2 linked regions of the Mus musculus genome follow. Each later gene encodes a partner of the first gene's protein in a complex. Links are inferred from orthologs where the notes say so. Each region holds a gene or a part of one and is shown in the gene's direction. Other genes may lie near its edges.

What was found.
Region 2: the proteins of Rims2 (region 1) and Unc13a are in contact, whole or in part, in a crystal structure (PDB 2CJS), measured with the Rattus norvegicus proteins. The link is inferred for Mus musculus from reciprocal best matches to the Homo sapiens genes RIMS2 and UNC13A. Residues at the interface, in XP_063118965.1 of Rattus norvegicus: Asp102, Gly103, Cys104, Ser109, Gln112, Val123, Leu125, Ser127, Asn128, Lys129, Val134, Met135, Trp136; in NP_074052.2 of Rattus norvegicus: Tyr23, Ile36, Trp65, Leu69, Ile70, Trp71, Asp72, Thr73, Met74.

What each region holds. Positions count from the first base shown.
Region 1 is NC_000081.6:39,456,500-39,460,318, forward strand, and holds part of Rims2 (regulating synaptic membrane exocytosis protein 2), read left to right. Parts: intron 1-178; coding exon 179-278; intron 279-1,264; coding exon 1,265-1,388; intron 1,389-3,089; coding exon 3,090-3,136; intron 3,137-3,819. UniProt on the Homo sapiens protein: Rab effector involved in exocytosis. May act as scaffold protein. Plays a role in dendrite formation by melanocytes.
Region 2 is NC_000074.6:71,668,943-71,673,523, reverse strand, and holds the start of Unc13a (protein unc-13 homolog A), read left to right. Parts: upstream 1-1,766; 5' UTR 1,767-1,876; coding exon 1,877-1,898; intron 1,899-4,581. UniProt on the Homo sapiens protein: Plays a role in vesicle maturation during exocytosis as a target of the diacylglycerol second messenger pathway.

The sequences.
Region 1 (3,819 bases):
TAAGGTTCCTTTTGCAGGCATTTACTTTCTAATGGTAACATTATCCTATTTAAAAAAATAACATTTATTACATTAAATTACGGTCTAGAATCTCTAAATCGATCTGATTTTTTTACTTGAGTCGTTGACTATGTTCACTTTAATAGTATGTCAGACAATCTTTTCCTCTTTTAAACAGGTTGTAGGAGGAAAGATGACTGAATCAGGTCGACTTTGTGCATTTATTACCAAAGTAAAAAAAGGAAGTTTAGCTGATACTGTAGGACATCTTAGACCAGGTAGGTTTTTACCATTGGTTATTTACATTTAAAATGCCAGCTGTGGGGCTAAGGTCATAGGATGTTTGTCCAACATGTTCAAAGCCTTGGGTTTGATCATTAGCACTGCCAAAAGAAAAATGCTAGGCATGAATAGTTAAGAAGAAGCCTTCTCTTGTACAAGTGATTCTACCAGTAATAATTAGTTTTCTCACGTAAATTAAAACTTTTTGTCATTAATGGAAAGTTATATCTTCTATTCCCTGTATATATTAGACGCAATATTGTTTTGAAAACTGCTTTTTTTGGAGCAAATTACAATTTGCTCATTTCCCCCCTTTCCCCCAGCTTCTCCCAGAATTCCTCCCACACCCCACATGCCTTGATATGTTAGTGGTGAATGTTCTAATCTGCCTGTAAAATTAGCTTATTTTGTTTCCCCAAATCTTTATTTTTGTTTTGAAAAAAATTTCAATGTTGTTTAGGAAACAAACCTCATCAATGAATGCACATTTTCTCATTATGTCATTCCATATTATTTGGCCAATTCCTCCAATTCCTATCGGAGAAATCCTTAAAGTCCTTGAGGAAGATTTCCTATAATGTGACTCACTTAACATTTTACAAAAGATCTTAAGAGTTTAGGCAACTGACACTCTTTAAAGCAGCGCTTAACTAATCATGTGTACACTACAAATCTAGAATAGAATCATGTAGTCCTCAAAGAGAGGGTTGACCCTGATCATTGTCTCCATCTGATTGTCTACAATTAGACGTTGTGTTAAGAAATCAATGGATGTAACTTTACGCAGTGTTTTTCTATTGACCATTGTTATTGTGGGTGAAACATGCTATCCTAGCTATCAAGCTCTGTGCCCCCGAGTTGTTCTCAATGTGTGCATTACTCTCTTCAGGTGGATGTACTCTTGCAATTTGCTGAAATCCAGCGATTGCTTTTATATTTTATGGACCTGGCTTGTATTTATAAGATTATTCCTGACACATAGGTGATGAAGTCTTGGAATGGAATGGGAGGCTATTGCAAGGAGCCACATTTGAGGAAGTTTACAACATTATTCTAGAATCCAAACCTGAACCACAAGTTGAGCTTGTTGTTTCAAGGCCAATTGGGTAAGATGGTTTTAGCAATTTGCTTACTTTTAAATGCATTTGTTTTCTCTCTATGTGTATGAGTGTTTTGTCTGAATGCGTGTGTGTGCACATCATGCATGCCTGTGCACACAGTGGCCATGTTCCCTGGTGTTGGAGTTTTGAGTGGATGGTTGTACACCTGCATGTACATGCTAGGAACCAAGTCCTGGTCCTCGGCATGAACAGTATGTGCTGTTAACCACAGAGCCATTGCTCCAGCCCCAGTTTCCAGTTTCTGTAACTTATTTGTGTGTAAAACTGACTACTACTTAGCATCTTGGAGTGTGCAATCCAAAATTGTTAGACTTTTTTTTTCTTTAACCAAAATATTTGGCCACAATTAATGATTTTTCTTTATTTGATTACAATAAAATATGTTGTTGATTACAAAATAGAAAAATATCATTACTTTTAGGAAAAGTTTTAGTAGTCTTCTACACTCCAAAACTGTCAATCACTGTAGTCTACATATCTTAAAATTTTTTGGTTTTGTTTTTCAAATGGAGGCTAGATTACAGAGACAGAAACAAAAAGCATATGATATCCAGACCCAGGGCTCACTTAAGGAAAAGTAGTTTCTTTGAAAATGTGATTAATAAGATCAAAATAGGCAACATTAAAACTCACATTGTCATTGTCTTTATTGCAAATAGCTTATTTTTCCCAAATGTGGCAGTGAGGTTAGTCCTTTCATCTGTAGTATAAAGATTATTCATGACATGGCCTGCCAGTGCTTTCTCTGTAGAAACATATATTCTATAATATAAAAGACATATCAAAATTAAATTAGAAAAAATGTGTAACTTGACAGTGAACTATTGAGTGACTTATTAGATAATAAAATGGGAGGCAAGTGCCTGGGAATGGAGGCTGGAGAAATTCCTTCTTGCAATCATGCATTGTTCTCATTCACCTCGGAAATAATAGATTGGAGCCTTTTGACTCTTTAACGTTTGGAAATATGGTAAAACCATAGTGTGTTTATTTTAATGTTAAAGTATATAAAATTATATATTTAATATTTTAAATAATTTATAATCATTTATGAATGAACCTAGTTTTTGCTATCTACTTGTATATCAAATAAGTATAGGTATTTTTGATATAAATATAGTTACAAGGTAACTTTGAAACTCCTGGTATGAATCATGATTGCCTGATATCAATGTAACATTTAAAATTTTTAGTTACAATGCAATGTTTTAGTGATATTTGATTTGACTTCCAGTGTAATTTATTTAGAAAATAAAGCAAAAATAAAGAATTGCATTAATATATGCTTATAAAACTTACCTTATTGAATACAAAGCTTTTTTTAAAGAGTAGATTATATTCTAAGGTTATATAGTAAGGCACATAGAAAATAAAAGTGTATATTTTTATAAATGTGGTAAGATGCATATAGGTTTTAATTCCTGTTGGAGGAAGTTGTAAAAATGTGATCCCAGTCTTGGGAGGAAAAGACAGAACTGTGTGGCAAATTCAAGGCTGGCTTCACCTATATAGAAGATCTAGGTCAGCTTGCCCAGAAACGACCAAAAATTGTGGTTTGACTTTTATCATTTTCATAAATACTTATATACATATTTCCCAGTTTTCACTTTTTATTCCTAGTTTTATTGGAAGACAAGATGCTTCAGTTGATAAAAGTTTTTTTTTATATCTTTTCTATCATTCCAGAGATATTCCTAGAATACCTGATAGCACGCATGCACAACTGGAATCCAGTAAGTTTAATTTATTCTAGGATATGTCTTTAAGCATATCATTCAGTAGAGGTCTAGTGAATAAGTTTATGTAGTAATATGGAATAAGATAAGTAAATTTATAGCCTCACACATTAAATCGAATAAAAGTGGAAATTTTCATAGAATTTCACATCTCTGTTGAAAAATATAAAGCTCTGTAATCATTTCAATATTTTATTTTACCCCTGCCATGATTATTGTAGGTTTTTAAGGACCTTTACTAAGGTATGTTCTAATAAACTGCACATTAAGTATAGAGTGAGGCAAGTCTTGGCTGCCTATGTACTCATGTATCCCAGTGAAAAGTCATGACCATTTTTACAAAAGCTACCTACTCCCAAAGTTTCCCACAAAATTTAAAGTTTGCAACTTTGTAACGCTAATGATTTGTAGAAGGGTATGTTTGGAAAAATCTAGTGAATAGTTTTATTTATTTTAATTTATATTTTTCAAGATTAAAATAGTAGATCTAATTTTATATCACAGCAGTAATGGAACAGCCAACATGTAAGTTCAACTTTGTTTTGTTTTCAACTGCAATTTCTTATCTTAAATTAGCTGTTTTCTGATGAACTGTCTCTTTATTGGCTAAGAGTAGTATAAGGGATACAAGGAGAGAAGATCAGGGGTGCAATTTAAAACACAATGTTGAATAAGAGAGA
Region 2 (4,581 bases), on another chromosome or scaffold:
TCTGGGGCAGTTCACTCAGGGCCACCCCTATAAACAGTGAGGAGGAGTCTAGAATTTACACCAACACATAATTAGCTCAGCATGTGAGCAAGCATGAAGGTCACTCTGCAAAGGGGGAAGGGGGCAGGGGAATTGAGCATCTCAGTGGTTAGGAGTACTGGCTCCTCCAGAGGACCCAAGTTTGATTCCTAGCACCCACAAGGTGGCTCAGCACCACTGCAACCCCTGTGTCAGTGACCTGACACCCTCTCCTGGCCTGTGTGGGCACCAAGCACTGAGGTGGGACACAGACATACAAGCAGAACAGTCACAAATGTAAAATAAATGCAAATAAATTTTAATTAGAGCAGCAGAGGGCTGTGAAGATGGCTGGGTAGCTACCATGCTCCTGAGGTGCCTAAGGGAAGTGGAGGTGCCAGGGTGGCCGCCATTCTGTCTCCAAAGCCTACAGGAGGAGCTGCTGATACATACCTCCAGGCCCTTCTCCAGGAGCTGCCAGTCTAAGCTGTGAGCTTAGGGCCAGTAAGACACTGCTACCAACAGCTACAATGATGAATAAGTGACCTGTGCATGAGGAACAGCATCCAGGGTTGTTCACTGGGCTTACATGCACAGGTGTGTGTGCTCAGACACACTCACATACACACACACTATCAGATACAGACACATACACTCAGACACACAGATACACAAACACACACTCAGACATAAACACATACAGACACACTCATACACACACACTTATACAGACACAGACACACAAGCACAAACACACTCACATAGACACATACAGACACACTCACACACACAGACACATGGACACACACAAACATACTCACATGCACACACAGGCACATGCAAACTCTGTCTTACACACACACACACACACACATTCCACACATGGAAAAAAATCAAGAAGCTCTGCACAATATCCCAGTGAGCTCCTCCTGCCAAGCCTGAAGCCATGAATTCTATTCCTGGAACCCACATAGTGGAAAGAGAATCAAGTCTGGAAAGTTGCCTTCTGATCTCCATGGGCGCTGTGATATGTGTGTGCCTCATTTCTACACACATAAACAATGTAATGTATAAAAAAAATTTTAGATTTATTTTGCTTTCTGTGCATGTCTGTGGATGGTTGGGAGCTACCATGTGGGTGCGAGGAACAGAAGGCTGGGGTCTCTGGAAGACCAGCTGGTGCTCTTAACCTCTGGGCAGCTCTCCAGACCCAATAAACGTGTGTTTTTTGTTTGTTTTGGTTTTTAGAGATAGAATCTCACTATGCAGACTAGGATGGCCACAGACTCGCAGAGATCTATTACGTCCATGGCCCGCAAGAAGTAAAGTTATAAAATGGGCAGAGATATGTGCCTGTGGTAGAGTATATGCCTCATACGGGGAAGGTAAGGCACATGTCTCGCAAGTGTCAGTACCCGGATTAAAAAACAAACAAAAAAACCAATAAACAAACAGCTTCCTGCGGCACTGAAGATGGGGAATTGACAGCAAATAGCAGTTCTGTTACCCAGGAGAATGTAAAACAAGAGCACAGGTTAGGTGGCTCAGAGAGGAAATAGAAACGTGGAGACCTAGGTAGGTGGAGCACGGACAGAAATACTCATCGAGGCTGAGCCAGAAAGCAAAGGGCTTTGAAACAGATACGACCTGGCCTGGACTCCCCGCAGTTTACGAGCCCTTTAAGGCGTCTGCCCGGCCCCGCCCCGTCACGCGTCTCCGGCTCCGCCCACGCCGCAGCGTCAGAGCGCGTCAGGCGCTGTCCGCGCCCCCGGTGCTGAAGCGACATGGCCGGCGGCCGGGCCCCGGCATAAGCCCTGAGCCCCGCGCTGCACCCGCCGCGCTCTAGCCGCCTGGAGTCATGTCTCTGCTGTGCGTGGGAGGTAGGTTCTGCGTGGACGCGGGAAAAGTGCGGGGTGTGCGTGGATGAGCCGAGTCGGGCTGCACAGCAGGGGGACCCCCGGTGCGCGCTTCAGGGCGCACTTGGATCAGCCCTAGGTGCTCTTCCTGTCACTCACACGAGTGGATGAGGGACTCGGGGCGCCTGTGTAGACGGTTTATAGGCCCTGGTTGGGGCTGAGGAGACGGCGGACCGTGCGCGCGAGGGTGGGGCGTTTAGGGGTAATGGGCCCGGACTGAGCGTAGGAGCAACCTCTCCGATCCCCAGTATGCCCTAAACAGTGCAGCAGGCTCCGCGGAAGCTCGTGGCTCCCTCTTCGCCTCACCCCTAGGGCTGGAGGAAGGGAAGGAGATGTGGGGGAGCAGCTATTTTGGGGCCAAAACGCCATCTGCACCGAGGCCCACGCCCAGGCCCACGCTCCGCATTTGGAGAGTAGGGAGGGAATAACGGGAGAGGTGTGACCCCTGCACCCCTCGAAGTTCCGGGTGGGGCTAGGCACGGCTGCCAGGTAACTCTACAGCGGGAGACCTTGGGCGACCGACTGGCCATGTAGCGATGCGTGCCGATACCGTTGTGAGCTCTAGGTTTGGAGGGTGGGGGGTGAACCCCCTACTCCCTTTCCCCTTCCCACCTCCAGGAAGCTGTGTAAGGAAGAGGGCGAGTCTCCATCCCCTCAGAACCCAGGCGGCGGGAGACCTGGGCGGCGGTGTGCGGATTTGAGCTCCGCGGCTGTGTAGCCCTAGATGGCCCCGCCCCTCTGCCCCTCCCCCTCCCTGTCCCCCCCTCCCCCTCCGCTCGCTGCTCCATTCACAAACCCGGCCCAGCCCGCCCGCGCCCCGCGGTGCATCGCTCTAGTCTGTTGGACGCGGGTGTTCTTAAAGGAGCAGGAACTCTTTTCTCTGACCCTGTGCCTCGAAGGTTCCGACTGCCCAGGATTACTGGGTATCCGCGGCTTCCAGACCTGGGAAGTAAGCGGAGCTGAACGTGAAGGGGATCCTCACCTCGGGAGCTCCCTGAATCCCGTGTCCTCCCATCCTGCCTCCTGGGGCGGGGGGGGGGGGGCGCGTCACCCCAACTCTGACGCAAACCGGAGGCTCAGCTGTGGGGGTGGAGGGCGTGCAGCCTAAGAAAGGAGGCTTCCAGAAAGCCAGGCCCAGGAGACATTTGTACTGAATTCCCTGGATACCATGGTGGGCAGAACAGGGAATGAAGGGTAGGGCTCTGGGGAGAGGAAACAGGCAGAGAGGTAGGGAGGTGCAGGTGGGGCCTGAGTGGGGCGCTGGGCGTGGTAAAGCTGGGCCTGGAGGTGTCCAGTGGACCTGAACTCACCCTCACAGTCAGGGAACACCTTCATTCCAACCACCCACGACCCTCCCCACGGACGCTTTATGGCTAGGGCTGCCATTGGATATATGGGGGCTCCAGGCTCCTCTGCAATGGAAGCTTCCATGTTGCAGATACAGATCTAGATTGTACACACAGGATGCTAAGGAACGTTTAGTATATACACATAGATAGGCAGGAGCTGAGGCTCAGTATGCATAGTGCTTGCTACAGTGCTCATAGCTCAGTTGGTACAGTGCTCATAACTCGGTTGGTATAGTGCTTGCAGCTCAGTTGGTACAGTGCTCATAGCTCAGTTCAAACAGTGATGCCCAGGATGCACAAAGGCCTGTGTTTCATCCCCAGCACTGCATACATCAAACCTGTCAGCACATGCCAATCACCTCAGAACTTGGGAGGCATCGGCAGGGACTCAGGAGTTGAGGCCAGCCGGGGCTAAACAAGCCTTGTCACACATACAGAGGAAAATGTAGGAAAAAATATCCCTTCCCATCTCAACACAGGCACATACTTGACCACACCTCCTGAAACACACTTGGTCACAGGCAGATACACTACGTACATCTTAGACCTGTGATCTCACCTGACTGTATGTAGGTATGAGGAGGTCAAAAAAACAATTTGGGGTGTCTGCTCTCTCCCTCCTCCACTGTGTAGATCCCAGATGCCTCGGCCATTAGGTTTGGTGGCAAGAAGTCTGCTGAGGCATCTCCCACTTTGTTGAGACAGACTCTCTTACTGAAACTGAGCACACAGATTGGCTGGCCAGGGGATCCCAGGATCCATTTGTTCCTGCTTCCCTAGAGCTGCGGTTACAAAAGACAAATCCAGTCTGACTCTCTAGGGGATCTGACTCAGGTTTTAGTTTTTTCATAGTAGCTAGCTTACAGCTCTTTCCTCCATTTAAAAAAAAAAAAAGATATATTTTAACCGGGCATGGTGGTATACACCTTAATCCTAGTACCTGGGAGACAGAGGCAGGTGGATCTCTCTGAGTTTGAGGCCAGCCTAGTCTACAGAGTGAGTTCCAAGACAGCTGGGGCTATGGAGAGAAACCCTGTCTCCAAAGATAGAAAAAAAAGAAAAAGAAAAAGATCTACAAACACAAACAATCACTATGAGAGAGAGAGAGAGAGAGAGAGAGAGAGAGAGAGAGAGAGAGCTGGGGTGTGGGTATAAATTTGTCTTGAAACTTGAATAGTACCAGAGTTGAACCTGCCCGTCCATCATAGTAACCCCACTACACAGACGAGGAAAACTGAGCCCCAGAGAGGTTCATCCACTTGCCTAGAAACACACAGCAGGGAGAGGACTCCCTGGCT